Astyanax mexicanus: one gene and its partner. The protein of the gene in region 2 purifies or fractionates together with the protein of the main gene of each other region. This does not show direct contact. Links are inferred from orthologs where the notes say so. Each region holds a gene or a part of one and is shown on either strand. Other genes may lie near its edges. The genes, in order: ap3b1a and ap3s1.

Region 1 (16,854 bases), on a different chromosome or scaffold from region 2:
CCCCTTCCTCAGATCACCCTCCGTACCCACCCCCTACTGCAGTGCTCCACACGGAGCATGAGCTATGTGGGGGAAAATATGACAATGTGTGAAGATTGTGGCCACCTTTTTGTGTTGGTAGCATCCTTACAAGCAAAGTTTGGAGGGCTTGTTGGATGCTTTAATGAACCTATTCTGGCACATACCGATCACGCAGATACTACCATAGCAAGCATGTGGTGGCATTGGATACAAGAAGGCACGCACCAGCAACGTAAATGATCTGGGAGGCCTTCCGTGAACCAAGAAGAGGGAGAACGTAAGTATTGTCCGAGAACCAATGCTCTCTGTGAGTGCCAGAACCATTGGCAGACGGCTGCACAACACAGGATTACATGCATGCACAATAGGTATTAACATTGTAGTCAAAGACTACAACAGTGTCATGCCAGAATGTTGTGGAAAGACTTTTAGAAGAAGCTTTTAGCACCAGCAATGCCAGTGACTGAGCCCATCCAACAATGCTAACGCCCCTTTAGCAATGCTGGTGACCTGGCTCAACCAATGTAGCTATAGTGGCGGCCCAGCCAGTCTAGCCATTAGACAGATTCCTATAAGCCATCTCACTAAACAGTTATGTGGCCCAAGAACAGTTAGAATGAATAATGAATGGATGACTCCGGAGCAGCATTAGCATGGTTGGATGAGCCCAATCATCAGCATGGCTAAAGCAGCATCCATGACAATCTGACATGACACCATTGTAGTCTTCGGCAATGTTAATATTTATGTGCATGTAATTTTGTGTTGTACAGCCGTCTGCCAACAGTGCTGGCACTAACAGGATGGCTCACAGAAAGCATAACTGTTTTGCTAAATGTTCGTAATCATGGCTGTTCTCATGACAATCCATTTGTTCTCAGTCTCCAAAGGTTCTTGTATAGGTCTAGCAGATAATTCATGTTGCTGATATCACCTGCATCATTGGTATGGCCTGCAAAATGTTGATTAGAGCATCCAGTTCCCAGAGCCCTATAAAGAGACACAATGGACAATTTGCTGTCCTACACACATTCAGATGTTCCAAAAAATCTTTAGGATTTGTGGGAGAATATTCAAGATGCATTTAATGGATTATCACAGGACTCCATTAGGAACCTCTGCATGTTTACACCAGAGATCCTGTATCTTCAAAAACCATGAAGCTGTGGATGGCACAATAAGATGCTGTACTTTGATGGACTAGAGTAGGTCCTACACAATATTAGTATTAAAAGTAACAAATCACACAGTGCCAAGCAAATACGTGTCACACGCTGTAAGCTAATCAACAAATGTATACATTTGCAATGATTTTACTGTTTTCAGATTAAAAACAATCATGTAGATATTATATAGCTCTGTTAGCTTTATTAGCAAACCTTACTATAGCTCAGGGATTAGCTGTTAGGAAGAAAAATAGCCAGCATTCCCATTTCCATGGTTGCAGCTCACTGTTTGTGTGTTGTTGTGTTCTTTACCTGGCAAACCCGAGTGTGGAAATGGGACTGGGTGAATGGTGATGTGCAGGTTCGGAAGCCACACAGATGCCCCACACAGTTCAAATAAGAAAATACTGGCTGAAGCTCTGCTTATTTCTTAATAATATGTGAAGATGAATCCTGGTCATGATGTGTGTTCTTATAGAAAATATAATCCTTAAATGTTCCTTAAACATATGGAAAATGCTTTGTACTTTATATGCATACATTGGTCATATATTTCAGATTTCTGTGTGTTCCTGGAACTTCTTCCAGGTGTGCAGTAATTTTAAACCTAATTTAAAACTGGCTAACTTCATTCATGTATGTAAGTACACCTCACTTACCTCAATGTTTTTGCTTGCAACGTTCTTCACCACAGCAGGGAACAGTTCTGAGGCGTTTTTCCCTCTCGCAATCAGCTGAGTAAAAACAAGCAGAAAGTCAGAGCTGAAATTGGACGGGAACGTCTGGAAATGCTTACAAATCACCCCGTTCTCCAGCAGCACGAGCCGATCAAAGCCCAGCAGCCTAACGAGCTCAAATTGACTGCAAGAGCTTAATAAATTAATAGTTTAAGTTCACTGTGGGTTATGGCTTGTTGCTTGCCATGCCAATGAATCACTTAGTCAGGCAGGCTGTCATTCATCAACCACTGTGTGTGTGTGTATATGTGTGTGTATATATATGTGTGTGTGTGTGTGTGTGTGTGTATACATACACACAACAATTACCATTGTTAAACATACACACACTATTACTCCATTACACACATTCACTAAAAGTTCCTTCACACAGCATCCTGGTTTGAATATACATTGATTAACGCAAACCTCATAGCCCAACTCTTTTGATGGCATTTCTGTTTTGAGCAAAGCACAGTACCATACAACTAGAGGTGTTAAACAATGTAGAAAATAGAAGCTTTGATGAAAGACCATCTCATTTTTTAGGAGAGCAAAACTATTGTAAGAAAAACTAATTTGAAGCAAATGAAAGGCTTTCATGGCTCACATGGCCATGAACTTTACCCCTGTTCTAGATGCAGTCATACAAGCCCAAGCCATACAAGCTCAGGCCATGACACTACCACCACCATGTTTAACAACAGGAGTTGTATGTTGCAGATCATTTAAGCAGATTATACGAAAAAGGGGGTGTCTCCCACTCGGCCGTAAGTCCAGCTGTCTGTGGTCAGGGCAACAGAACTTACAGTACCAGTTTGGACACACCTTCTGATAATGTGGCACATTGTATGTTTGACATAAAAAGGTCCTCCGGTCTTGTTTGATTTGATTTGACCACTGCATCAAGACTTAGATCCGTGGTTTACATTAGTACCAAACCACAACAACTGATCTTTGTGGATCACGGATTATCCATGGTCTGTTAAACCCTTGGTACCAATTTTTTTGCACTTTAAGGTGCACTATCAATAAACATCTATTTTCTGGTCTATTTTTATACAGAGGCGCACTGGATTATAAGGCGCATTATACGACACTAGTAAGGAACAGGGGTGTCACCATGTTTTCTTTCTAATTCAGCAGGTCTCTCATTTGGAAACTAAGTTAAGAAAAGCTAAGCTAAAGCAAGCAAAACTCTAATTCTTAAAAAAAAACCCAAAAAAACCCTTAAAGTTAAACGAGCACTGGTTGTTAATCTACAGAGATTTCTCTTCTCAAAACTGTTTATTTGGGTGAATAAAGCACTTCTGTTTATTTACAGTAAGCTAAGAGGTCTAGATTTCCACTAAAGCTGGGTGCAAAAGCATTAGCATTAGCGGCTAACCGCTTGCTCTAGCCGCAGTTAGCGCTAGTAAATGTCGCCCGACAGCGTTCCAGTAAGTCAGGGCGATATTAGCTAGTGGTTCGTTCCATGTACCTTGTTTTAACATGGTAACAATGCAGGCTACAGTCCGCTATAATCGCCTCTAAATGGCAAAAGAGCTAACGCTTAGTGCGGTTAACGGCTAATGCTAATTCTGTTTCAGCAGTGCGAGCCGAGAATAGCAGCAGGCTACAGGTCGATAACGCTAACGCTTAATGTCTTAGTGGTTAGTGACTAATGCTAATATGGCTCAAGCCTTGGTGCTGGAGAACTAAACTGAAACTCCTGTATAACTCTGTACTTCAGCAGAGTGGCTTTACTGCTCCTTAATACCAGACTGGTAAAATTCATACATAAGGCGCACTGATGATTTTTGGGAAAATTCAAGTATTTTAAGTGTGCCTTATAGTGTGAAAAATATGGTAGTTAACATTGTGTGCAAATTACGAAGTAATACATTTACACTTTACTTACAAATTAATTCATTCACCTATTTATTTTCCTAACTGATCTGTGGTACAGGATAATACCAAACCATGACAACTAATGTAAACTATGTTACACCCCTAGAACATACAGTATGCATGTACAAATACATGCACAGCCATCCATACATGTAGAGGAGTAAACATAATCCATATGGTGTGCCTGGAATAAATTCAGTCAGTAGCAGTCTGCACTCCCCTAAAGAATAAAAAGGCTAAAGCAATAGAAAATGTGAAAAAAAAAGATTCAAGCATCTGCACATGAGCCAAAACATACAAGCTCATCTGTCAAACATGGTGGAGGTAGTGTCATGGCTTGAACAGGGAAATGTTTATGGCCATGTAAAACACCAAAGCCTTTAATTTGCTTCAAAACAGTCTCTCTTAAAATTCTTTTGCTGATCTAAAAGAAAATAGGTGATCTTAAATCGAAGCTTCAATGATGTACATTGTTTAACTTTGCACGGATATGTAAATATCCATAAATATAAGCTAAAATTCATATCAATCATCTTATATTTTTCTTAAATATCTTTAGTGTATAGGAAAAATGTGAATTTAAGGAAGAAAAAAAAAATTAAAACAAGACTGTTGTGCTAAATCCACTTCTATTAACAATGGCATTGTTACAGTAACATAACACACACAAACACACACACAAACACACACACACACAAACACACACACACACAAACACACACACACACAAACACACACACACAAACACACACACACACACACACACACAAACACACACACACACAAACACACACACACACAAACACACACACACAAACACACACACACACACAAACACACACACACACAAACACACACACACACACACAAACACACACACACACACAAACACACACACAAACACACACACAAACACACACACAAACTAAAACAAACAAACACAAACACACACTTACCCCCACCACCCTCTTCATGGCCTCCAGCTTGAGGGACTCCTTGGTGCTCTCCAACATCTCCTTCAGATCCTCGTTCCTGAAAAAGATTCAATTCAGCCTGATTCATTTCACACTCAAACCCATCTGACACACACTCCTGAGTGCGCACACACACACCTACACACTTCCCCTGGCAGACAGATTCATTTCACACCGATTCACCCCAACTTTGATTCATTGACACGCTCGATTCGCTTCAGGGCCAGATTTAATCAAGTGGGTTGCTTAGGTACTGTACTTCCAACACACAAACACACACACACCGACACACACCTCTGCTTGGGGCTGCTAAGCCGATATACCCCACACGGTCCGTAGCCCCACACACTGACCATGTCCAACGATTACGACTAACAGCCTCAAAAGGAGCCGCTCCAAACACAATGAACTACAGTTAACGAAAAAAAAAAAAAGAACTACAGGATCCAGAGTTCCAGAAGGAAGATGTATGATAGAGGCGAAACACTCCACACTACACACTCCAATCGGCAACAGAGGGAGAGAGATAGAGAGAAAGCTCGGTCAGAGTACATGCCGTTCGCCCTGTGCTGGTGTTCATATGTTTAAAGTGTGACTGTCTGCTAAGCGAAAGGTTCAGAAGAACAGGGCCTTTGTTTCAGGCTTGATCAGCTGCCACGAGACGGCCTGTGCAGCCCCTCGCCTGATGTGCAGTGACCTGGGGCTGAGTGTGAGACGCTGAGGGAGGGGTGGTGGTGCGAGACCTTCGTGCATGACTACAGTCATATGAAAAAGTTTGGGCACCCCTATTAATCTTAATCATTTTTAGTTCTAAATATTTGGGTGTTTGCAACAGCCATTTCAGTTTGATATATCTAATAACTGATGGACACAGTAATATTTCAGGATTGAAATGAGGTTTATTGTACTAACAAAAAATGTGCAATATGCATTAAACCAAAACTTGACCGGTGCAAAAGTATGTGCACACTTATAATTTTATTGATTTGAATACTCCTAACTACTTTTTACTGACTTACTGAAGCACAAAATTGGTTTAGTAACCTCATTGAGCTTTGAACTTCATAGCCAGGTGTATCCAATCATGAGAAAAGGTATTTAAGGTGGCCAATTGCAAGTTGTTCTCCTATTTGAATCTCCTCTGAAGAGTGGCATTATGGGCTCATCAAAACAACTCTCAAATGATCTAAAAACAAAGATTTTTCAACATAGTTGTTCAGGGGACGGATACAGAGATTTCTCAGAGATTTAACCTGTCAGTTTCCACTGTGAGAAACATAGTAAGGAAATGGAAGACCACAGGGACAGTTCTTGTTAAGCCCAGAAGTGGCAGGCCAAGAAAAACATCAGAAAGGCAGAGAAGAAGAATGGTGAGAACAGTCAAGGACAATCCACAGACCACCTCCAAAGAGCTGCAGCATCTCACTTGCTGCAGATGGTGTCACTGTGCATCGGTCAACAAAACAGCACACTTTGCACAAGGAGAAGCTGTATGGGAGAGTGATGCGAAAGAAGCCATTTCTGCAAGCACGCCACAAACAGAGTCGCCTGAGGTGTGCTTTGAACTTCATGCATAACTTGTTTGTAACTTTGTTTGTGGCGTGCTTGCAGAAATTGCTTCTTTCGCATCACTCTCCCATACCCTTATATATAAGTGTTTCTTTTGGTCAGTAACACTCTTGTGTTTATTTACTAGCAGCGTAAATTACCAGTGTTTGCTTAGGCATGGATGTAATTAGAGGAATCTGTACCAGGTTTGCCTGGCACCTGTGTGGCATTAATGTGGCATTTGGTTCCACCCAATATCGATATCGGCAATCTGCCAATCGTGGTGAAAGGCAATCGGCGATCGGAATCGGCCCCAAAAACACTGATCGGTCCATCTCTAGTTAAAACAGACTCTGGTTCGTTTCAGCATGTGTGAAAACAGTAATCGCACTGAAACAAGACCAAAACAAACTGCACAAAGAAGAGGTGTGTCGGACCTTAACAAACTTCAAAGGGTTATTTTGAGGTGAAAAATGAAAAATCTGACCCAACTATTAAATATTTCTCATGTCTAAGCAAAAAGGCTGTTCAGGTTCAGTATAACCTGATTTATTACCTAGATAATTACTACAGCTATGATCAAAACAGCTCAGAGGAGACAGCTTACTTTACTTTACTTTTGTGCCTGTGTAAAAACAAACCAAACAGACAGAAAATTCTCCACAAGTAAACAAACTCAACAGATTCAGATCAGAGAAACAAACTACAGTTGTGAAAATACCCTTAGAAAATCATAGCATTATATTAGATGAATTTCAAAAATCCTGCACTATATCCTGCCACTATATAAAACAGGAGAAAATTTTAACCTGAAATGTGGTTTCAAGCTTTTGAATAGTGGTATATACTGTAGACCTTCCATGTAAGTATTGGTGGATACCAGTGCTGGATCAATATCAGTAGCAGATCTTATATTAAATACACCCTTATTGTTAAAAGTAACAGCCCAAACACAAAACACTTATTTGCAACTTATTTCCCCCAATGATTGCTTAATCATTACAATGGACTACAACCCAAAAATGGACTGTAGAACCTAGCATCCAGAACTTGACAAGTGTGTAGTCAATAGTACCCTTTGCTTTTGGTCTCCTCAGAGTCTCCATAGTGCTGGTGGTTGCTGAAGGCTTGTTCCTCCTGGCTGATGTCTGACCTCAAGGTGAGCTGGAGATTCTCCGCGGAAACCAGCACTGTCCGGACGACTCCTGCGGCCTCAGAGCGCAGGCTGAACAAACCCCCGTTCATCACGACTCAAAAAGAAAGCTTGCTTTCAGAGAATCCCTTGGAAACTACTGGTCCAACTTGAGCTTCAACTGAACCATTCAGGATCAGGACTACCACCCAAGACCTTTCCTGCGGTCACCAGTGAAGGTGACAACCTGACAATCCACCAGTTCCAACAAGAACAGGGAACAGAAATGTAGTCCACCCAAGGTCACGAATGATCGACAGCAGTGGAGGCCAGGGATTCCCAAGAAACCTAATTTTCACAGTAAATCCCAGAGCTAAAATCCAAGCTATGGCATGGAACTTTGGATAAAATCCCAGCTGAAGCTTCACCAATGAAGTTCTTCTCCAAGTTGTACCGTGTCCACTGCTGGCCTCCTAAATCCTGATAAGTACCAAGACAGCAGAGATGCCCACTCACTCACTCACTTAGTCACTCACTCGCACTCACTTATTTAATCTCTCATAAGCTTAGGAACCACGTGAAACAGTTCCAGCCCAGTGCTGTCCCATCACTCCTTATCAATTACACACCACGAGTGCAACAGAGGTCCTTTTCAAACTTTTAAACCTCCTGTTCAAGCTCCAATCCTCTCCACAGTGAAGCTGACCTTCAGGTTCCTTCTGCAGGGGTGACAGGAATGGTCCCTTGCTTCCGAAACAAAGTGACCACCAAGCCGTTACTCCCTACGGATCGCTCGACAAAGCTCGCAATAAGCCCGGCACTCCTTGCACATAAACTTCACTTTGGCTGGTTTCCTGTTAAGCATTAACTCTGTAAACTCTTTCTTTAATCGTTGTCCTCAAGAGCGACAGTATCCACAGAACAAACAAACACACACAGGCGACAGTCCTGTTCCACTGGAACCAAGATCCTTCCCCCAAGGCAGGGCTTTCTTCTTAATAGATCCAAGGGAAGCGTGGAAGCTCTAATCTACAGTGAATAAACACTGCCAGTCTTTCATCACCTTCACAGCGCAAACCTCCAGCTCTTCCTGTGGCAAGCCCGTCCCAGAAGCCCTGTAGGTGCTTGATAAGGGCCAAACCCAGCAAGCAACACTTTCCTCTCCAACACTTTCCTCTTCAACACAATGGCCAACAACCCACTGTACCACTCGCTAAATTCAATACTTGAAGCCAGTACTTTCCAGTTGTTGACCATTTCTCAAAAATGGTCAACAAAATCTGGGATGTCTCATTTCAATCAGAGATGGCAGATATTTGCTCTAGAAACAAAATAGATTTCCATACTTCTTAATGTTTGTAGCCATTCTAGTGGTTCTAATGAATGCATTCCGCTTAGGGATGTATGGAAAATATTGTGAATAAGGAAAAGGCTAGAATAATTTATACAAAACAATGATAAGGAAAGAAAAAGAAAAAAGTTATTTTAGTTCATACTACAGTGTTGTCTCTACAATTCTTTTCAGTAGCCAGAAGTGCTTCTTATAACCACAGGTGTAAAGGCTGAGCTCACACTGGGACTCCAGTAGGTCATCAATTCAGGGAGTAATCCAGCTCAGAGAAACAGACATGATCGCAGCTAAATCGCTCTAACCCAGCCAAGGCTGACTGCTGTCTTGTTATCAGAAGTATAGACTTTTTTGAAACTTAATAAAAACATAAAGCAGCTGCCGAAATAATTTTGTGGCCACTACTCACTTTTTCTTTAAAGTTGCTTATAATTTGATATAATATCTCTTTTTGACTACAGTAAAAAATGTGTGTGTAATATGTGTAATGTGTGTATGTTGGCTGTACTCAAATGGCACTTCTAAATACTGGCTTCAGTCCTCAGTCATGTGAACGAAAGCCTGCTGATTCGCTTAGAGCCAAATAACATTAATACTACACACACACACACACACACAAACCCTAATCACATAACCATACACACACATAAACACACACACTCAGTACATCTCACTCACACTTTAGCACCAGCCCCCCCCTTCGACCCCCTCTCCAAATTCCTGCTAACACATACCACTAATACCACAGAACATAACATACCAACACTCACACAGTCACCATTTACTATATGTCTACTACACACTAGCAACTATACCACATTTATACTGGCCAACTTCAAAGGAATCTATAATCTATGTTGTTTTTTTTCTTAAGTAATCTGTACAAAGCTACTGAAATTCTTAAATGTTGTTCCTGAATGCTTTGCCCCGTGTAATATGTCTTCTATGATACGAAAGCTTTAAAACACAATGCTTAATACGTTCTACATCTAATCACAAGTCTTAAAAGCTCGGGACATCGGGAGATTGCTGGTTCAAATCCCGGTCACGCAGCTTGCCATTAGCTGCAGGAGCCCTAAAAGAGCATAATGGGCATTGCTCTCTCTGGGTGGGTAGATGGTGCTCATTGCCCTCATCACTCCTAGGGTGATGTCAATCAGCACAAGGCATCTGTGAGCTGATGTATCGGAACAGAGTCGCTGCGCTTTCCTCCGAGTGCACTGTGATGCTACTCAGAAATGCTGCATCAGCAGCAGTTTAAAAAAAGAGGCGATGGCTGACTTCACGTGTCAGAGAAGGCATGTTATAGTCCTCACCCTCCTTGTGTTGTGGAATCACTAGCGATGGGGGATATGCAGCTCTTTAGCAGCTAAACGGATTAGACAATCTGCCTAGCTATACTGGGGGAAAAAAATAGAGAAAATAAAAAAAAATAATAATAAAATAAAGTTCATAGGGTTAATACACTGCCACTATATTGCAGATATAACTAAATTTTAACAGATTAAAACTAACCAGTGTATCCTTCCTGCAATACCGACAAAGTCTGGCCTACAAACCATTCATGCAGAACTGTAAGCGATTACTATTCTCATATTACTGACTCAGTCAGAGACTGCCTGACTGTGTTCCAGATCACATTCCAGTGTTAGAAAGGAAAGGTAAACTGTAGCTCAGTGCCAGCAGGGTGCGAGTGAGTGAAAATAAGCCTGCATCAGCAATACTGAGCACTGATGATGTGACCTCAGTCTGGCCTTTATCCACTATAGCGGCTAGGCAGTTCCCCCTGCTGGTCAGTTAAAGCTTGAAACAGTATATTATGGAAGTGTGTGTGCACAGGTAAAATTTCTCCATTTTGAAAATAATTAAATAAATAAATAAATAAATAAATAAATAAAGCTGCACATGAGGTGAAGCTCTTTTTAACCATTTTATAGTAACACTGCCTATAAATGTCATGTCCATTAGGCTCCATAAACATGTTATTAACAATCATGGCTATAAGTATGTATAAAAATGCATAACAATTTATAAACATGTTTACTATGCATTATGAAATATTTACATGGTGTTATATGTCAATACCAAAACCTTACACAAAGCTGCCTTAATAAAACATGCTATAATAATAAAATAAAAACAAAACTAGGGATGCAATAAAAAAATCTGTTTTGGGTCAAAAACCCAATTACTATTTGCCACTTTTTTACCACTGCAGAAATGAAATAGCTTTTGTATACATGCCTTTTCAAAGAAATTACAAAATAAGCACAAAATAACCAATTAAAAATATTTATTGAACGTCAAACATATTTAACATCCCAGTTGGTTGTGATTTGATTTTATCTTAAAAAAAAATCACTGTTTGGAATAAATCTAAATAATCAAAACTTTTTCACCCGTTTTTTTGCCATTTTTCGACCAAATTGTTTGGAATTCTGAATAATTTGGGTTGCCGAATATCTGATGCACCCTGACTGAAACAGTAACAAATTGGTGGGACTGAGTTATTTTTAAACCTAAAAATGATCAAATACAAAAGTTCAGTTTGTTTACAGACTAAATAAACACTTAAGTCAGTCATACAGTAAATGTTCAACCCTCAGTCTGAAGATTAAAACATGTTTAGCACACATAATTAGAGGATTTATTTAGCTAGCATGGTCGCTAACATTCTGTTTACCACAGAACTCACTCAAGTCTGACTGAAACTCCACTTATATAAACGTTTAGACAAGAAAGATAGAGCGACTGAGCAGACAGAACACAGAAATGAGTGTTAGTTTGTTTGTTTTTGGTTGTTTTGGTTTGGTTCTGAAGCTATCTAGCTAAACTAGCCTCCAGTACAGATACACAGAGTATCAGAGTCAGAGTCCAGTACAGCTGTTTTTGACTAACTAACCTAAGAACTGATTATAAGAACTTAACTGTCTGAGAGAGTGAAGTCTTAGTTAGTTAGCTACATAACAAGTAACATGCTAACAGTTAATACCACAGTACAGACCATGTTCTAGGATCAAAACACAAAAGTGTAGAAGATAAAGCTTAAAACACGTGCACACAGTCAAGTAAATTACCTTAGGAGTGTTTTGAGGCTCACATTGCAGACTGCTAATTCCATTTAGTGGCTTTGCCTTTGCCTGATTTGTACAGAGCACATTGCTAAACTTACAACTATGGTGGGCCTGTGTTTTTCCCCCACCTGTTTTCAGATAGCAATGTCAAATTTATCAGAGGCCATATTAAATGCATTTTTCCAATACCAGTATTAAACAAATGTACACATGATAACAATACATTTTTACACCATTTCCTCTACACTGGGAGAACATTAGCAAGAAGAAGATAAAGTCAGAAAAGCTAATGATAGCACAGGGTCAATACCAATAACAGCCCTGATAGACAAATCCAGTGTGAATAGTGCTTTTGACAAGCAGCGTGAATACACAAGCAAAAATGTAACTGCAGCCCAACAATACCAATCTGATTAAACCCCTTATAACTCTCCAGTATAATAAAACACTCAAGCATTCAGCCACACATTAGCCTAAGGCCAACCATGGCTGTTGGGTTCTCTGGAGTGACGATGAAGATGAAGCTCCAAACAGTACTTTTGGGATGAGCTGGAGCATCAGAACTAATTGTCTAAATTTCTGAATCAGTTTCTCTGATTTTGCTATTTAAAAGGTATTTGTGTGAGTAAAAGGAACACTGCTGTTTTCTTCTATAAACTACGGCAACATTTCTCCCAAATTCCAAATAAAAATATGGTCATTTAGAGCATTTATTTGCAGAAAATGAGAAATGGCTAAAATAACAAAAAAGATGCAGAGGTTTCAGACTTCAAATAATGCAAAGAAAATAAGTTCATATTCATAAAGTTTTAAGAGTTCAGAAATCAATATTTGGTGGAACAACCTTGGTTTTTAATTACAGTTTTCATGCATCTTGGGATGTTCTTGAGTCCAGGATATTACTCTACACACATATCTCTTTCGAAAAAACTGTTAATTTGGGTGTTTAATTAAACTAAGCTTAGCTTTCAATTGTTTTAATTAAAACATATGGCTAACTTTAGAAATAAATACAATATTAAGCTTGTATTTTAGGTTTAAACCAACTGTATGCAAGCAATACATTGAAAGGTTTAAATTAATGTTTTATTAAGCCTGTTGAGAGTTTTGTTCTGCTAAAAAAAACTGACCAACTTTTATATTTTAATGTAAAGAAAAAAAAGTTCAGAATTGTTTCTGGGAGAACAGACCCGCCCACCTGTAATAGGAACAACAACACCACGTACCTCAGCAGCATCAGCTTTAACGCAGCGCAGAATCGCTGATCTACAAATCATCCTCTCTCATCCACTCTCACTACAGTTCGCGCACATGATTTATACATCGAATAAAGCCGATGTGTAGCGAACTAAATCACTGAAAGCGCTGGAAACTGTAAAATTAACACTTTATTTAATTTGATCAAATAGTGACAAAATAAAAAAGCTATAACAAGACAGAAGCAAAGAAAATATACAACTAAAACTAAGTTAACCTAGTTTACTAATAGATAAGCTAACCACACATACACAGACAGACACTGCGCATGTCAGCAGCAACAGGCAGCAGAAAAAACACACACGCACACATCCTCCATTCACGTTATCATCAGCTCATTTAACTACACAGAACTCTACATGCACCCACTTCTTAAAGTCCGCGCTGAACAGGCTGAAGGCGGCTCCCCCGGTGGAGGTGGTCGGGGTGTTCTCCTGCCCCGCTTCCACAGCTGCCTCCGCGCCTCCCTGATCATTGTAAGACAGGCTGTTGGCCGACATGTCCGCTGATATTCTCCAGCTGTGATAAAGCGAGCTGTGCACTGAGAAGGAGCACAGGGTCTGATGAAGCCGCTCTCAATTAAACTATAATTAAAGTCGATTTTATAAAATAATCAAACCGAAAGAAGAACTTTTCCTGTGGAAGTTTTTTTTCCTCCTTCTTCCACACGCAACCGGAAGTATGAGTTGGAGAAGTTTAAGTCACATGACAGCAGTGTGACGCCCCAGCCCGAGTCACCTGACTAGTTTTAGTACCGACAAACCTCTAAAATCCGCTGTTTTTTTACTATTCGTGTTTTATAAAACATGCTGTCAGTGGCTGAAAGAAATATATTTTTCTTTATAATATTACTTTTATTAAAAAGTTATGTCTCCTGAATCAAAATATATTGAAAAAGTGCCAGCGCAAAACTGTATTACCCAGCAACACTAGTTTTAGTACAGGTATTACAGTTAAACCTCAGAAATCTCCTGATTTTTACTATTCACCTAGTAAAAAACATGCTGTCAGTGGCTGAAATAAATATATGTTTCTTTATAATGTTACTTTTATTAAAGAGTTATTAAAGAGTCAGAATGTTATCATAAAGTGTCAGCTCAAAACTGTGAAACTCAACAATTTCTTACTTTTTCTTTTTTTATCTACATTATTTTATGTGTTTATAAGTCTCAAAAAATGTATTAGTTTTTTTTACTCTATATATAATCAGACTAGTTCATAGTATTTCATTTACAGACTAAAACAGAATTGTATTTTATATTAGGGGGACTTTTATTTTGACAGAAAATCGTTTTGTTGTGTTGTGTTGAATCACAATGCTTCACATTCCTCTCTCACTTTACCGCTTAATATGTGAGTAGCTACCTAATACACAGCCCTGTTATCTGACTTGTTGTTATTATTTAAGCACTCATAAATATATAATATCAACACACATTTTATTTCTGACTGTGTTAAAAAAATAAGGCTGTGTCCCAAATTACTCCCCACCTCTTACAAAGTGCACAATAACGTCACACACATTTCTTAAATATTTGAATGTTTAAATATAGTTGATATATTGTGCTCTGACTGACTGTTTTACACACATGCAGTGCACTATGTAGTGAGCTAGGAAACATTTGGGATTGAACACATAAAAAAATATATGACTGGTCCAGCAGATGGAGCTATAGCTTTATATGTAACAGCACCACCTTAGGCCGTATTGTAAATCACAGCTGATCCAGGGTCTTGAGAAATGCCTTCCACCCGGTGTCCACTTCATCAGAAACACACAGTACAGTTATCTGATTTTTCTCCAGATCTACATTAAGATCTTAATAGTATATGTTTTTATGTTACGTGCATTTGATATCTGAGTGTTTATAATGCTGCTTTTCATTGACCTCAGATATCAGCTATTACTGTTAGCACTGTCCAGATTAGCATTGTTAGTATTGTAAATGGTAAAAAATCCAGTGTGCACAATTTTGCAGTAAAAAAAAAAACAAACATATAATGTTTAAAAAAGAGGAGATGCTTTTTGGCAAATAATTCATTGGTTAAAAGCTTACAACTGGTAAGTAGCAATTAAAATAAACTTAGCTTTGGAATTTAATTAAAAAAATGTCAGTTGTCCTTAAAATGTAAAACAGTACACTAAGCACATTCACACTTTTACACAAAAACACAAATAGCTCTGCAACTATGAAATGTATAAACGGAAAAAGGTCTGGCTGACCCATATGGCAACACATTTAGCTAAGCTTTAAAACTTTAAAACGTCTGAGAGGTCGGACAGGTAAAGTGCAGTTGTAAAGTCATTGCAAAGATGAAAAATGAAAAAAGCAGATTGTTTGGGCCACACGGCACTGCTACTGAACAGCTAAACACTGGGGGTGTTCTAAAACATGGCTGGTAGTGTTACTGTTTGTTGTTACTCTTCTTTAAATATTGCTGAAAAATGAAAAAGAAATAAGTAATTTACAGTTTTAACCACCAGAGGGCCACAAAGAGCTGTTACGGAGATGACGGTGATAAAAGAGAGAGAGAGAGAGAGAGAGAGAGAGAGAGAGAGAGAGAGAGATAGGGTTCCCTAACCTACCCCTGGTCTCTTGGTGTTGACATGTTTGACTGACCTCAGGATGACTTTTCTGCTTTAAAGCTTTAGAGAGGTGAAGAGTCACTCTTTAAACTTTTAACACACTGCTCTGGCCTTTAAACTGCTCCAGTGTTTGTACGTGTGTGTGTGTGTGTGTGTGTGTGTGTGTGTGTGTGTGTGTGTGTGTGTGTGTGTGTGTGTGTGTGTGTGTGTGTGTGTGTGCAGATGTCTGTCTGCAGTGCCGGGGGGGTTATAAAGTTCTGTGTGTATGTGGAATCAGGGGTATCGGGTCAGTTTTAGTAACTGTTTACATTTCAGTAGGGTCAGAAAACACAGCGGTCAGGCTGACCCTGGGTCAGAGCTTTGGATGCTTTGGCCTGAGGCCTAGTGTCTCCACAGCAAACCACAGGGTATTTGCCACAAACACACTCACACACATGCACCTTCATTGAAACACATTTTGGCTGTGTATGAGTTAGCATATAAAGGTCTTGGGACTACGTACCTGTAGACCAGCAAAGTGCCCATACTGACCCCATTTACTGTGGCCAGCAGGGGACATGCAAGCATTAAAACTGGACCTTGAATAGATGGAAGATGGTGGCCTGGTCCTCATCTGTGCTACATTTTCCTGTGGGGGTGCCGGAATAACGTATTAGACCCATGGCTGCTCCACTTTACAAATAAAGGGTGCTTTCAAACCAGCAATATTTGACTCTGGTTCACTTACCCTATAGTGCAACTCATGAAAACAGGAGCGAGTCTCGATCAAACCCAGCTATCAAATATAGTTATTTTATTTGAGCAAAATAGGTGTTGCTGATAGGGTGCAGTTTAATCTGATATAATAGACAGATAAAACAAATTACCACAGCTATGAACAATCGCTGCTGCTACTTCATGCTGTTTACACGCATGGTCTATGCTGCGTTGACTGCTCGCAAATGTTCAGCTTTCTATATTAAAGCAGCATTACACTGCACAAATATACATGCTGGAACACAACATTTTTTCGCTATATTTTCTTTCTTGCTCCCGAGCCAGACAGCTCTGACCAATCAAGATGCTTGCGTGGTTTATTGATGAGTATTTTGGTGCGTTTAGGTTTAGCACTGTGTGAAGGTTGCACACATGTGTTTTTCTA
Region 2 (16,701 bases):
AAGGTAAATTAGTACAGCATTTATCTATGCGAGTATTTTTATGTAAGTCAAGAGAGTTATGAATGACTTTCTGGCAGTTCATCAGAAGAGGTCAATTTGCCCTTTCAGCTCATGGCTATGTTTAGAATACTCTATAATTGCTAAAACAAAGCGATAGGAGGTGCGAGACTATAGACAGCACCAGGTGTCCAGAGAAAGGTCAAAACACAGTGTTAATCTAATTATCTCTCACTGCAGGCTACAAAAAATCTCCTGACTCATTTTAGTGGAAACATTCCACTTAAACTTCTTCTCAAACTTGATCTGCTTGAAAGACCTCTCTGTATGGCTCACATAAATCAGGAAAATTTAGTATATGTATTAAGCAAACAAACACTTTAAATGGGCCCTGTAATAGAAAATTGTGTTTATCCTGACAGAGTTGAATAGTACGTTTTGTACATGGAAATAGTGTACTGTAAACCTGAAACACTGCTCTAGTTAACTTATTAAAATGATAATTTCAAATTCAGCATAATAAACATTATAAAATCCCGAAACTATGGTGACCTGCAAAGCCCACCAAGCAAAGCCTTAAAAGTCCAAATGCAGCTGTTTATGGGTGAATCCAGTCAGGAAATCCAAGTGGATCATACACCACCATGCTTTTAAAAATGGACAAAGCTAAAAGAATGCCAATCAGAAGAGTGGGAAGCTATCCAGCTATCTGCATATCATGGCAAGTAGGCCCAAATAAAACTATAGGTTGTAAATACGTTTGTAAAACTGCATCTGAGCATTTTCACCCTAAACAAAGTGATATACTTACTGCTTCCTACAAAAACATCTCAATAAATGCATACTAAGAAGCATCCCAACACAAACCGCAGCATGTTTCCTGTGCAGTCTATCATTCATCTGGCAGACTTTTCTTTCAACACATCACATATGGTCATCAGTCATTTCTCATTAGCACAGAATAAGATGCAGAAGCATTAGCAATCCCAGCAGTCCCTTCCTGTCAGGTATAATCAGCTCTCATCATGTCTCCATAGCTGGCACTGTTTTCATTAACGCTCTGTAAGTACAAAGCAGTGGCCTATTAAATCAAATCAGGCTCCATTACAAAAACAGGACTGTTTAATGAGATTCCAGCAACAAAGTTTGTGATTAAGAAGTAAACAAAGCTTTTTAGAGGGCTTTTCATTTAAAATGCTTTGTCCAACAGACAATTAGACCCCAGTTACATCTGGTTACTTAATTCACCTTGAGTTTCAGCCAGTTAAAAGTGCAAGTGCAAGGGAAAGTGCAAAGTCATCCAAGACTTAAAAGACTTAAAAACAGATAAAAACTCATTTGATCTGACTCAAAGTGATCGGAGATGCATTTGAGCCATGTCAAAACTGAGTAAACATAACAGTATCTACAAGATGCATTTGTACAGATCTGCTCAAAGTGCATTGTGTGTCTCCTGACGCACATCAGGCAATGACCACATCAAATCTAAAGCGACAGAGGGGCAGGGATTCAACAGCATGGCTACATGTATGCTGACTTGATTCCTATTGGAAGACATTGTAGAAACAAAGGTCTCTGTATTCATAAAGAAAAAAAAATACATACAGGTGTTACCAAAGTATGGACAGTTTTCTGCTAGATAAGAGATTTTGCTGTTTTATCATTAGCTGCTAGCATTTCATACCAATTAAAAAGAAGGCTACTATACTAAACTTCGATTCAGACCTGCATAGGTGCCTTCCTGCCTCAGAATCCTGCCTTAATAAGCAATATTTCTCCCGATTCAAACACAGGCAAAGTTACAGACACCTAACTTATCACAGCAACCAATGCAGATTTATGGTTTATGATGTTATGGATACGCAAATACGATCTAATTACTAGCAAAAAACACGGCAGACAGTCATCTTAACAGCTTTTTAAAAAACACACTGTCCTGCTGTACAAACTCAACATGTGGTCTTATGTTACTGTGCTGGCAGTGCAAGGCAAGTCAGTTGTTGCTGTAACACCCCTAGTGGCAATTTTCACAATTGGAATCTGATACAATTTTATACGTACAACACACTTTATAACACGGCAGCTTTGCAGAAATCCGGATCTAGTCTCCTAATGATTAAGCTGTGAGTGGCAATGTCAGAGAAATCCTCTCTCATGAAAAAAACTCATCAAAAGAATGGAAGAATGAAAATCCATCACTCCAGATAATGTAGTTCCACAGCCAGGGCTGAGGGGCTTTAGACCCATCTGGACGTCTGCTGACTTTAGGCTCATGTGTGTCCCATTCTTTAAAAAATGTTTTTCTATGATGATTTTCCCAGCATTTCGTGCACAACTAAAGGCCTGTGCCATACCAGCAATGGGTGCACCTCAAAGAAGCACACATATTGGTGAGAAAGGTAGTCAGAAATTGGGTCTGAAGATACTTAAATGCAGAAACATCTGAAAATCTATATAGTCATGCAATTTTCTAAACCAGCCAACCTTGCAGCAGCAGTGCAATTTTTTAGTCATGCAGACACAGGCTGGCCACCTGAAGTAGTACATGCAATGTTACTTCCTGGATGATGAATTCCTCATGTCCAAAATATAAATAAATAAAAAAAAATCACAAACTGGTTTAACGAACATGTCAATGAGCTCAGTGTTCTTCTGTAGCCTTCCCAAGTCACCAGATCTCAATCACTTTTGGGATGCAGTAAAACAGAAAAGCCTTATGGATGTGCTTCTAAAAAACACAATCACCTTTTAAGAACAATAATTTAAGTGATAAATATTAAATGAATGTTTGCAAAAATAAAATATTATATTTGGGTCAAGCTCATTGATTGGTCTGGCAGAGTACATTCACACAACTAGCAAATTCAACTGGTGCATTAGCAACTAGTAACAATAATTTTAGTGGATGTCTGAGAGATATGTTTCAGTCTTATTGTATTTGAGTTTTTACTCATCATGCATAGATGGTTAAATGGGTCTTTCACAACAAAAGATACTGAGGCAACCAGTTAATTTGACAGGCTACATTGCCTACTGTGCTGTATTTTATTTAGATTTCAAATGGTCATTATCATGTTTGTGTGGGTCACAGAAAGGTGGTGGGTGAAAGTGCAAAATGATGGGAAACCATGGTACTGACTTTCCTCTTAGTCAAAACAAAATAATGTTCAATGTATATTGGAAAATAACCATATTCACTATGTAATAAGCACAATCGGTATGTGATGCAAAACAGTCAATGTAGTCTTTGTGAATTTATACAAAAAATTTGAGTGAAATATTTTAATGCATTTAGTGCAAAATAAGTAGTAGCACTGTATCGACCAAATGGCTAATACTGATTATTTAAAAAAGAATCAAATATCAGCCAAAACAGATACCAGCCACACGATATCATTGTGCACCTAACTGATTTTATTATCCATGACATATCATATTTTTAAAAAACACATTAGATCAGCCATTTATCATTTATTATACTTCAATATTGGATACACAATGTGTTTTATAATGTTGGATTGTAGGGGTGGGAATCGATTACTATCTCACGATTCGATTCGATTCCGATTTTGGGGGCCACGATTCGATTCAAAATCGATTTTTGATTCAAAACGATTTGAATTATAAATATTTCTGCTTCTGGCTTATGAATCGTATTGAAAAAAAACCCTCCATAATATACACTGGTCCTGGAGCAAGTAATGTGTTACAAAAACAATAAAATGTGCAGGAATGTGGGTCCTCAGTGACAGAGGAATCACTGGGATATCACAATGACGTTAATGAACAATAAATACATAAATAAATAACACTGCTTTATTACCAGGCTACTAGCGGTGGTGTGTAGGTGACGCTGCTGGGCTGATGTGATGATAGCAGTGGAGCGCTAAAGTTCAGGAGCAGCTGCTGATTAACTAGTTAATTTAAGGTGGTTGTATTTCTTCAGAAAGGGGGCAGGAGGTGGAGAAATTAATTCATATTGTCCATTCCTTAATTCCTCTGTGATGAGGAGCTGAAATTAGCTCTGATTAGCTTATTGTTATTTTTCCGTTCCGCCTTAAATGCTGCAGCCCGCTGCCACCTGTAGCGTTATTTAAGGTGGAACTGGAAAGTTAGCTAGTTAGCTAGCTAACAGTTACTGAAACTAACTACTAGCGATCTTTTTTATGCTTGTTATGAAGCATTCTGCCATAAAACATTGAAACTACACGTTAATCTAAGGTAATATAGTGCTTGTTCTGCCATCTTACCGGTGATTCTCAAACACCTACGCTCTGTGTGTGTCTGGAAGATCTCCAAAGGGACAAGCGCTATCCCCAGGGTTGCCAGGTCCAACAAAAATACCCAGCCCAAAATCAGTCTAAAACCCGCCCCTCAGAATCGATTTTGGGACATTTTAAATCGATTCTGAATCGTAGTAAATGAGAATCAAGATTCTTATGTGAATCGATTTTTTGGCACACCTCTATTGGATTGCTGACCTTATATTTTTATATTACCACAATATATCACAGACAAAATATACTCGTGCAACTCTTACAACTCTTGCACCCTGCACCATGTTGCACTGTTTCACACTGTACCTACCAGTGCCCAGTCCCATACTTATCCCACAATCAGTATTCTGCACCCTGTACTCCCCACACAACTCATTCTGTACCTGCACTTACTCATAGTTACTCTGTCACCTATTGGACTATTTCCTCACTTACACACACTTACTCTAGATATCTGCACATGTACATAGCATCGTATATTTATATATTCAGTCGTACTTAACGTATATACATGCAATATTATATATCTACAGTGCAAGTTATTTTGTGGATTGTTATTGTGTGCATTGTGTATACTGTACATACTGTAAAGTAACTGCAAATTTCTATTTTATTGTATTATTCTACTCTACTAAATATTCTTCTCTGCATACTAGTGGGAACCTGCACCCACTTTTTTCACTCACATTTTCACACCTGCACTTTGTTGTCAGTTCTTTTCCAAAACCATACAGCCCTAAAACTATTGCCAATTTATTTTTAATTTAGTAAAATTTTCTTCAGTATGCTGCATGAGTAGGTTACTTGCTGAAGATCAGAAAGGCATGAATGGAGAGTATTGAGCTGCTAAACAGGCCTGAACAGAGTCAGTGAAGTGAGCACGAGTCGATCACAAGGCGAAGTCACGCTGTAAACCAATACTGGTTGCTGTGTAATCCTATAGCCTGAGTTAGGATAGGCAGACAATGAGCTCAGAAACACAAGCTCACTTTTCACCAACGTAAAAGGATCAGCCTTAATACTTTATGAACAGGATTTGCAATGCAAAAAAAAAAAATACAATAACAGTAATCTTGATAACAGTGTCTAACTTTAATACTGCTGATCCAGCTGCAAGTATTAAGTATTTCATCTGCTTAAATAGACAAAATACTTCACTGAACAGCTGTATTAACACAATCAGTCTACTCTACTTAATTGGAAAGGTTTGCAAAGCTAAAATAATCATGCTTATATTCTATAATCTAGGTAGGTTAATCAAACTTATGAATAGCAGCTAAGTTAGTGATTACACTAAACAAACACAGCAGGCAGAGTGGGCTCTTAGCTAGTTAATTAGCTTGATGTCTACACAAGTAATCCCTCCATCTTCAGTTTATGTCCTCTGATAATGAATCACTGAGTAAAAAAACATTAAAATATATTCCACTGCAGAACACACCCTTAAAGCTGAGAAAGTCAGCTAGTTAGTTAGCTAATGCTAGTTAGCGTTAGTTAGCTAGCTGTCTAGCAACTCTGTTGCAGCTTTAAATGTAACGTTAGCTAGTTAGCTAGCTAGCTAACTAACCTACTTATACTGTAACTACAAAAAGTAGGTTATATTTATAGTAAATAAATATATTATTATCGAACTAGCATCACATAAATAAATGTCTATCTAAAACTAGCTCCAGGACTGACGTTCAACCCACACACAACAGTTAGCTATAGCCAGCTAGCAGGCTAAGCTAGACCCACTGAAACTCATACTCACATAGTGTTCGTAGAATTTGGACAGCCTGGGTTTTCCATGGTTGTTGAATATCAGTATGGCTTTTATCATGTTATTATCCTGTCAGGCCGTGTATTAAACCGACAGACTGAGGTACGGACGTCGTTCTGTCACCTGTGTGTTCCAGTGTACCTGAGTGAAACTAGAGCCACTCAGTGGCAGTCTGGCAGCACGGCGGAGGGATACGTAGCAGACATTAGTGAAGTTAGCGACCGCAGTGAACTACGCCAGATTCTTCCGCAGGAAACTGTAGATTTCAAAAATAAAAGACACGTGTAACTCTAGTAGAGAACGAGCCACACCTAACCTAATCAATCAAATAAGTGGTCTCTTTTTTATAGAGCTGGATATAAATATATTAAACATAAAAATATATAAATATATATTTCAAATATTAGCATTGTTTTTTCTAAATTAATATGAATTTGTTTTCTAAAAAGCACTTAATCTTTCTCATTATTTTGTCCGTTTCTCATTTTATGCAAATAAATGCCCTTAATATATGTTTTTTTATTTAAAATTTGTTTAAAAAATAAAAAAACTTAAGTTAATCAGAAAAACTGATCTTTTTTCCTGAGCAGTATTATTACATTTATACGTAATATAAATTAAATATATATATTTAAAATATTTTTTAAATATTGCTAATGTTCATTTTTATATTAACAAACATACAAGCGAGCACAATAGCCTGTATCAAGGTCAGCAAACATTTATTGAGGTAATTTCCATATACTGTAGAATAAGCCTAAAAAGCCTATCCTGTACTACATATTATAATAAAAGTATCATTTATATAAATACTGCAAGGCTTCAATACAACCTTCCTAGTGTGTTCCAGTCAAATTTTACTAGGTCTCTCTAAAACATACAGTAAATTTAATCTGACTTTGCCCACACAGTGTATCTGGGCATCAACATTAATTCAGATATTTTCCGTAAAAATGTAAGTGTTTATCTTTTTGCACATTTGTGGTGTTCCCAATCAAATGCACCAGTCATCAGAAATGAAAGTAAGATTATAATATGCGTAAAAAAATTGGGTTCAGATATATGATTGTGGGATGGACACGTCCTTCTCCCACCATTTCACACAAATATATGTACAGCATATTTGTGGTGCTGATGGAAGTGAATCCAGGCTGGAGGATCATCAAGATTTGACTATTCTTAGATGAATATGTCGTTCCTTTATCTCACCCATACCCTACAGTTAAACAGGCATTTTCTTAAACTGACCTCTGTTCTAATTGGGTTTCAGCTCATTAACAAAGCAAAAAAAAAATCAGTTTTCACTTTGTGATTGTGGGTCATTAAGTGCAGACTGCGGAATAATTGGAGGTTTTTTATTATTATTTTAGCACAAGGCTGTAACACAACAAAACGTGATATATGTGAAAGCGTCTAAAGACTTTTCAAATGCACTGTAAATATATTGCAAAGGCAATGACTTTAATAGTGGTCCCAATGATTTGTTTTCATCCTCAACCTTAAAATATATATACTTATATATATATATATATATATATATATATATATATATATATATATATATATATATATATATATATATATATATATATACTTAAAAACATGTACGCTACATACTGCATTGTATTGGGAAAAAAAACATCAGAACCAATTTTACTGTGCTTGGTTATCCACGGGATGGCGCGAGAGCACCGTCAACTATACCTCAAAAATCTCAGCATAAAAACCCTTCACTGTTTTTTTGTTGCTGTGGCAAATTTAAAGTGTCCAAATTCATAAATATTACATAAATACAGTGGACTTATTTTTCTTTTGATGTGCTCGTTTGTGCTAAGCGCCTTATATATCATATAGTTAGTTGGTGCTTAGTTTAACACATGTTTAATATTCATGAATATCAGTGGAGATTATTCACCATTAATAACTATAAAACTATCTTGAATCTATCACATATCCATGTTTTTTGGAAAGATGGTCTAAATCGTGTGTTTTAGCTCGTTAATGTTTCTATCAGCTGAACATTAGTCTCTTTCTAATGTTATTGTTTTGCACATTCCCCTCAGCCTAATCTTTATTCATGGATTGCCGGATTGTCCATTCATAGCCTCTGCCTGTGAATGGGGGTAGTTTCTAAGAGCTCAGTGGTTTTTAAAAGGTTTAAACATGTTGTTGTTAAAACATAAATATACATACAGTTTTACGCACAGTGGTTAAAGTTTTAATGTAACAAAAGAGAGATTAAAGGCGTCAACTGCAGAGCCGTTCTTTTTTTCTGGTCCAAAAGTTGAACACATGCCCAGTTCCACAACGAGAACCAGAATGTGTGGCAGGGCGAGTCCAAGTGTTAAACACAGGGGTGACTAGACTGCTTCAAAATAAGCCCAGACCTGTTTCTATGATTTAATTTGCTCAATATTATCTCTCTATAATATATTTTAACGTTTTTTTATAAATATTGTATCGTATTTTGCTCGCAACACCCGTGCATAAATGTATTTTGGTCAGATATCTGTTTAAAATAGATACCAAAGACTGCTCCCCCCTCTCTGCAGAGTGGTAGCGTCCATTAAAGTTTTGCCTATAAAATCTATAAAACGTGAGCTCTGCTCATTCAGACAGGCTCGGATCTACAGGAGAAGCGCTAAAAATGGAGCAAACCGAATTAGTCAAGCCAGAGACCCTGGATGATCTTATTAAAATCCTGCACAAAATCTTTGAAGATGATCACGTCAATATTGAAGAGGTGCAGAGCATCATGGAGGCATATGAGAGTAACCCTCAAGAGTGGATGAAATTCGCCAAATTTGACCAATACAGGTAGGCAATACTTTATTATTAATATTATTAGATAAGAAAATATATATAGAATTCTATATTAATGCAGCAAATGCAGGAAATGTGCAGTGCAGAGAAAAGGACAGTAATGTCAAGCATACATTTGTATATATATGTATATATTTTTTTATTTTTATTAAATACTTTTTATTAAATATATGAACGTAACTAGGTCAAATATAAGAGGAAACATTTTACTACTATATATTGTTTGTATGTGATGTTAAGTAGTAAGTAGAGATGTTGCACATAAGTGAAATAAATAAATAAATTGAATAAATTGCTTTTGCTAAAAATAAAAGTTGTAATATTGCACACAGTATGTGTATATATACTGCACGTGGCTAGTAAACAGAACAGTACACAGTTATACTGCAAATTGGAGGACAGTGATAAAAGATAAAATAGCAGTAAATAGTTATGTTGTACAAGTGTACTTATTATTTGAGCCAAGTGTATTATAAGTATAAGTATCATAATAATTATTATTGGCAGTGCAATTAGTGCATAAATTTTTTGAAAATATATATTTTTATCATTTGTTATTTTAATTTTTCAAATGTTACTCTTTACTAAATACTTTTTTTTCTTTTTTAGAATTGCAGCTACTTATGGGCCCAATATTTCTCTAAAATAACCCATAGTTGTTTTTAATCAGGTTATTTTTCTGGACGATGCTCTGACTCCGCCCTCAGCACCGAGGTCTCTCTGTAGTGTTTTGAGAGGACTTCTAATAGGAGGTGTCTCAGGGTGGGGATGGAGGCGCCAATCACAGTCCAGTTTCTGGCCCACACCCGCTAATTTTTTTAGACTGAGGGGGGCGGAATTTTACTTCCCACCCGCATTCCGACACGCCCCGCCTCCTGTGCCGGGATTGGCTGGCAGTTCTAATTCATAAACGATTCATAAGCAAATTTAGCCAGCATTCTAGAACAGCTAGCAGCCAATCCCAGCGCGGGGGTGGCGGAGAGGGGGCGGGGTTTAGAAAGCTTAATACGGGTGGGTAATAATGATGTGATGGATTGATTGCAGGGTCTCCGGGTTGAGAAACTCAGGTTCCATTGCCATGTTTGTAAATCTAAAGGTCGTTATTAACAGCTCGAGCTGTTGATGGCACCTTCTAGAATTAGCACAGGTGGAGGTTACTGCACTGCACTGCAGTACATACCGTTACTTCATCCAAGATTAAATTATTTGTAAACAAATAATAATAATTACACTTGAAAACTTTATTTATAGTTTTTTTTTGTTGCAGTATAACAAATGCAGTTTTATGCAGAATTAAAAATCCTATAGATATGATGTAATTTTATATTCTGGTGTTTTTTCTGCATTGGTATCAATAAAAAAACACTTTTATGAATAAACAATGTTCAGACCTAGCTGACATTAATTTCTGTGGATGATAATTTAGTCCTGATCCTGATTTTTTTATTGCCTTTTTTATGCCTCTCTGTGGAAAACGGTGGGGCAAATATTTTAAACATGAAAAAATAATACAGATACATAACATCCACAGTTTCACTTTTAAAAATTAGAAGGACATATAAGATTTATTTATTTATACATATTTTTAATGTCCTAATGTCTTTGTTTAGGTATACCAGGAATCTCGTTGATGAGGGAAATGGAAAATTCAACCTTATGATTCTCTGTTGGGGTGAAGGCCACGGCAGGTAAGGGGTTACTCCCAATAATATCAACAGCAACTGACCTATAAAAGCCACTTATAACTTCACTCTGAACAGTGGCTTCACATAAAGCTAAACATGGGAGAGATGTTCTAAGGAAACTAAAAATATTTTTAATACACTCATTAAATACAACATTAAAATGTTCCTAACCTTCCTGTATAACATAATATCCTATATTATCTTCTTAAACCTAAATGACGTCCCTCTGTAATCTATAGAACATTGCTTTGACGTAGTTTGTGGGCGTAGTTGAGACCTGCTCTGTAAGTATATTGACGAGCTTGGTTAATGTTAATGTTAATGTTAAACGTTAATGTTAATGTTAAAGGTTAATGATCAATTGCACCAACTCAAAAAAATTGGACTGAATAATAATTCTGTCCTGATGAACACACGCAAGCTGAAGATAGTGAGGTTCAATGGTCTAGTGCTGGGGGAGTTATGAGGTCATAAATGGAACTGGTACATTGATAAGCATAAATAAACTGATTGTGAGGCAGACAAACCTGGATGTGAAAGGTTTACCTTTTATGGTCGTTTTAGGTTAATTCTATACTTTAAAAATGTTATTGACTTGTTTTAGAGAAGTAATGCATGGGGATGTATAGAAACCGGACAAGTTCATTCAGTTAGACCAGTGAAAAAAAGAAAGAAAAATCTTGCGTGAGTGAAATTACAGGTTTGCATGAAATGTCGTGCCATTCTATTATTAAACTGCACTCTTCTACCCCTGCACTGCTTTTTTTCACAGAGCTTATTTTCATTTAATCATTGGTTTATGTGGATTCTAAAAGTAGTAAAAGTTTTTGGGTTATTTCTAAGTCTTTTCTAAGTGTTTTTGTTTTATGCAACTTGCAGTTCTATCCACGATCATGCGGAATCACACTGCTTCATGAAGCTCCTGCAGGGCCAGCTGAAGGAGACACTGTTCGAATGGCCTGACCGTAAATCACACGGAGACATGGTCCAGAAATCCCAGCGAATCTTGCTGGAAAACCAGTGTGCTTACATCAACGGTAATTGTGCTTGATGTTCTTTCCACTGCCTGCAATGAATGGCTCTCTTTGAGCCAAATGGCACAGATTGGTACATCCTTTTAACTATGTCACTGCTTACCAACCCATTAATCCTTAGTAATGAAGCACCAAACAAAAGTGCTAAGGCAGCATATCTCTTTTCCTAACAGGACTAGCCAGACTGTCTGTAGCTCTAAATGTGGGCAGCTAATCAGATTTAGGTTACATATTGCATTACCAGTTTATAAATATCAAGGCTTAAAAACAGTACCCTAAAGATATGAACCGAGATATATATTTAAACACTCCATTCAGAGATACTGTACTCTGTGACTTAATGATAGCACTTGCTACGTGTGAAACTTGACTGTACAGTGACGGGGAACTCAATACGGCTTGACTTTAATGTCTCTGCTGGAATGTCTGTCTGTTGCAGATTCCATAGGCCTCCACCGGGTAGAGAACGTCAGTCACACGGAATGTGCAGCCAGCCTGCACCTGTACAGCCCCCCCTTCCAGCAGTGTCAGACTTTTGACCAGCGGACGGGACACAAGAACACAGTCAAAATGACGTTCTGGAGTAAATATGGGGAGAGAACACCATTTGTAAGTCTGAACAATATGTACACAACTAAATCACTGGATTATATATATATATTATACCATAAACTGTGAAAAATAATAGCATATAAAGACATATTTCTGTAAATATTATGGGATTTTTAGGCTTTTTAAACAAAAATACAAAGAACAATAACTTGAGTCCAAAATTAATATAATAATATAATATTCCTATTAAAGATGAATAAAGACGCAAAAAACATGTACTTACTTTAAAAATCAAATTCCACAGATTTCAATAATTACTGCACAATTGTATCATTCCCATGGTTACAAAGTCATTTACAGTGGTTTGATGTGAAGTGGTCCAATATAGGGCAAGGGGGAACACAATGATAATAAGCAAATATAGCTATTTTCTATCTATAAGCATTACTGACAAAGCAGTAGCAGTAAAATAGCAGTAAATCTACACTCAGCATATAACTCTCTGCTAGCGCCAGTATAAAAGCATTGCCACCACCAAAGAGAAAGATATATTACACTAGCTAATGTGAGATTAGGCCAGTTTTACAGTTGAAAATAACATTCCCAATGTAATTTAAAGCCACACATGACCTACATGCTGCAAAAGCTTGAAACCTGTTAGATGGCATGGAGACATGCACACTGGAACACCGGCGCTTCATGGCTCTGTTTGAGTACTGTTTGATTTCTCAGTGCGCCACACAGCATTCACACAAAGTACTGCATAAACACTCATTCCCTTTAAATAAAAGCAAATTACCTAATGAACTAAATTAACTTATGCAAATAGAATAAATATATTCAGCTAAATTGCTTGCAACTTGGTAGTGTTCCTTAGTTTGTGATGGAATTTTGGTGATAACACATAAACCCCATTTCTCATCAAAATATTAAACCAACAAAAGAGAATAGACTCCTGATGGTTAATCCTATATAAATTAGAAAGCTGTAAATCTATCTTTTAAGACATCTGATCTAAAAAGATGAGCTACTTTATTGTTAAATAGACAAAATGCTCAACAGCCAGCAGCAGAGGATTGCTCAAGCCTGATCAGATCAGTGGCATCACTGATTCTAGGCCAAACTGAGGTCGCGAATGGCCATAGCACTTCAGACTTTAGGCTTTACTTTGATTTATGTACACAAGCCATCCAATAAAGGGCTTGGTAATTAGCCAATGAGATAACATTGTTGTATTCATGTCAAGGTAAAAAACACTGCGTCTGCATTGCTGTGGTCCGCAGGGCTGGAGTCCAATGAACCTGCTTTAGATAGTGACCTGATCTACCTTACCCACATGCTGCACTGTGGTAGCAGCTGGCATTTATTTATTACACGATAATGACCACCATATCAACACGTGGTGGACTGAAAGTCAATATACTGTAATGGCCATCTCACTCTCTGGCTCTGATCCCTATTAAAGACCCCGGATCTTAGATAAAGACAGAACATCATCAGATGTCGTAAATGATCAAGCATGAGGAAAAGTTCAAGATCTCCTTAATGTGTTATTAAACAATAACAGTAAAAGTCTCAGTACTGTATGTATGGTTATCATATTGGCTGCAGTAATAAAAGAGTGGTAGATAAAATATTTATTTTGCCCCATTATTACCTGTCCCTTGAACTCTTCTTCGGAAATCCTTTTGTTGTCTGATCAGCTGATAAATATTATCTATTCTTGCACCCAGGGGTCATAATCTGTATCTGTCTGGAACATTATCACTATATTGATGACATAAAACAGGTGTTGAAGTGTCTGTGTGCTATCGGTATCTTCTGTTTGGTGTTTTTGTTGAAGTCACTCTGTTGCTCATGGTGATCAGGTGAAAGTAATGTTTTGAATTTATCACATGCTTATGTAATTTACGGTGGGCTACAGACACTTGTTTTGATGAATGGAGCTTCAGAAAAGTCTAATATACTTTTGTTGGTATGTAAGACTATAGGAAAAGGTAATGAGACTATACTGTTAAATGGATTTTCCTACTCTAAAACGAGCAGGGACCCAATGTCCTACAGATGTACAGCCGTTTGCAAAAGCATTAAGCAAACAAAAGTATTGCTGATGCCTTGCAATGCCCTGACAAATATCTAGAAGGGTTAATATCTCGACTTGCTGTTTTTAAAATTACTGGAAGTTACAGCCAATAAAAATGCAGGACATGGGGTGAGGAGATTTCTCTCGTACTTGGCATTCAATCAGTTCCCATTTGTGTTTTTGCAACTGGAGAAAAACCAAGTAGATTGAAAATTAGATCATATGCAAAACACGCATCTGCACATGTTACTGTTTTTTTTGTTGATGATAATAAAATAAAAAATGGCAGATTAAATGTTAGACTAGTTTTTCTTCATCTCATCAGACAAACAGCAAGTCTTTGAGCTTAAAGGCAAAGCTTTTGCTTTTGCTTTAGAACAGGGGAAATGGAAAAAAGTTCAGTGCAGAACAGCGTCCAACAACCACTGCACATGTTCTCTTAAGTAGATGCACATGTGTTAAAGCCTCCGGTAAAGAAATATTAGAGCATTTATTAGACTATTAAAGGTTGTTTGTGTAGTCTCTGGAAAAACGAAATAATTAAAATGAAAGAATTAAAGTGAAAGAATGAATGAATTAATGCTTGTCATAGAATAACCAAATCTATTTGTTGGTATTTTTAACAGAAAGTGATATTATGTGTGTTATAGTGATATTAGGTTTTACATCAGCATAGTACACAAGTAAAGTAGCATGCAAGCCATTCATTTAATATTGTTGTGGTGCTATAACATGACAATTATTTACATCAATATAGCCAGCTTATGTTAAATCGTCTATATTCCACATTTTCTGCACCATTAGTTTTTCCTTGAGGTCCTTGTGTTATGTTTTTATGGGTTTTTGTTGAATGTAAACATGTATAAGCTTATAGTGAATTATTTTGTATTTTATAAAAATAGAAAAAAAAAAGTTTTATTATCCTAGAAAAATTATCCCAAAAAAATTAAAAATAAGATTAAAACAGTAGTAATAGTCCATTGCATAAGTCCCTTAATGTTAATTTATTTAGAAAAGAAAAATCCCAGTTTTGTTAATATAACCCGTTTGTACAGGTTGAATATAAACAGAAATGTGCGCTCCAGGTCGTCTAGACAAGTGCAACCATTTTGGTGAAATATTTACAGAAATTGGAACAAGAAAACTGCTAAACTTAGAAAGTACTGGATGTTCCATCACTGCAGGAAACTTTCCAGCCACCTTTCATTGACTAGCCCCTAATGACAGTGGGCTTCACTACTTTTTTATGACATGAAATCTTGGCGTGTGCGTTTGGATGGAATCTGAGGAATCTGTTTCAGAAGGTAGCAGACGAGTAGATGAGGGGGAATGGGGGGCTGTTCCTCAGGCCATTCGGTTGATTTCTTCAACATGTGAGAGCTTGCAACGAATGTTCTGGATAACAGTTAATGACGAGCAGACCTGCACATGATCCGCGTCAGTCATGGCAAATACAATGGGCTTATCATCCATTCAGAAGTTGCATAACCTTAACCTGACCAAAATGCTGCCTGTCCAGCAGTATTGCAACATCTGGCCTGTGATAAGATAGATAGCAATAGAACTAATTTGCTGATCTCAACAGGACTCGTGAATTCATTTATTCTAATTTTGAATATTTAATTTTTAGCTTGACAGTCACTTTCATTTGAATCATCACAATACATTCCCTTTTGACTGTGTTAACTTAAGATTTGTTATTATTTTGCCTATTCATCATATTTAAAAGACTTTAGACTACACAGATATCATATTTTTCCAGCTTAATCACTTTATATTTTTACTTTTTTTACTTTTGGCATGTGGTTGATTAAATATTTTCTATTTTTGGTGAATATATTCTATATTAAATATACATTTTATTTTACAAATGTATTATAATTACCTTGATATTTTACCACAACAATGTGGACAGCTTTACCTCAGCTAAATATAGAAAAAAAATGTACATTATGCATTATACTATTCATTGCTGAACATGCAGCAAGTGTCTTTAATCACTTGAAAATAAAATAGTGTGAAGCCCCCCCCCACACGCACATTAAAGAGAACTACCATTCCTCTATACTTGTAATAATGTGTTCAGTGTTTGTATGAAATTTAAACAACTATGCAATTTAAACAACTATGCTGCACACACAGTGTTTTTTTAGTGTTGTATAGACATGCGCTAACATTTCCTCCTTTTATTTTTCAGGAAAATACAATCTCACAAGAAAACAACTAAGCTTGGGAAGACAACACATGGAACTCTCGATTTCGGAAATTCAGGCGTAACTAAGACGACAATAACTTCATAAAAGTAATAGGAAAAGAATGATTCAACACTTTTTTCTATTCAGTTTTTTTTTTCTGCAAAGGACATTGAAGCGGGAACTCTGCGGTAATTAAAGAGGCTTTATGGTAACCCAGTGTAAGCTTGGCAAATGCTGCTGAACACAGGCCGAGGGCCTGAATAGCGGTATTAGGCTGGGCTGCACCATGAATC

The links.
Region 1: the proteins of ap3s1 (region 2) and ap3b1a fractionate together in Homo sapiens (co-fractionation; 5 studies listed by BioGRID and IntAct, counting the BioPlex papers as one, with this or other methods). This does not show direct contact. The link is inferred for Astyanax mexicanus from reciprocal best matches to the Homo sapiens genes AP3S1 and AP3B1.

The regions. Positions count from the first base shown.
Region 1 is NC_064424.1:23,999,310-24,016,163, forward strand, and holds the start of ap3b1a (AP-3 complex subunit beta-1), read right to left. Parts: upstream 8,499-16,854; 5' UTR 7,561-8,498; coding exon 7,391-7,560; intron 4,826-7,390; coding exon 4,750-4,825; intron 1,922-4,749; coding exon 1,847-1,921; intron 1-1,846. UniProt on the Homo sapiens protein: Subunit of non-clathrin- and clathrin-associated adaptor protein complex 3 (AP-3) that plays a role in protein sorting in the late-Golgi/trans-Golgi network (TGN) and/or endosomes.
Region 2 is NC_064419.1:37,199,051-37,215,751, forward strand, and holds the start of ap3s1 (AP-3 complex subunit sigma-1), read right to left. Parts: upstream 6,260-16,701; 5' UTR 6,097-6,259; coding exon 6,028-6,096; intron 1-6,027. Other genes in the region: cdo1 (cysteine dioxygenase type 1), read left to right, coding at 8,684-8,853, 10,470-10,547, 11,424-11,581, 12,018-12,187, 16,411-16,440. UniProt on the Homo sapiens protein: Part of the AP-3 complex, an adaptor-related complex which is not clathrin-associated. The complex is associated with the Golgi region as well as more peripheral structures.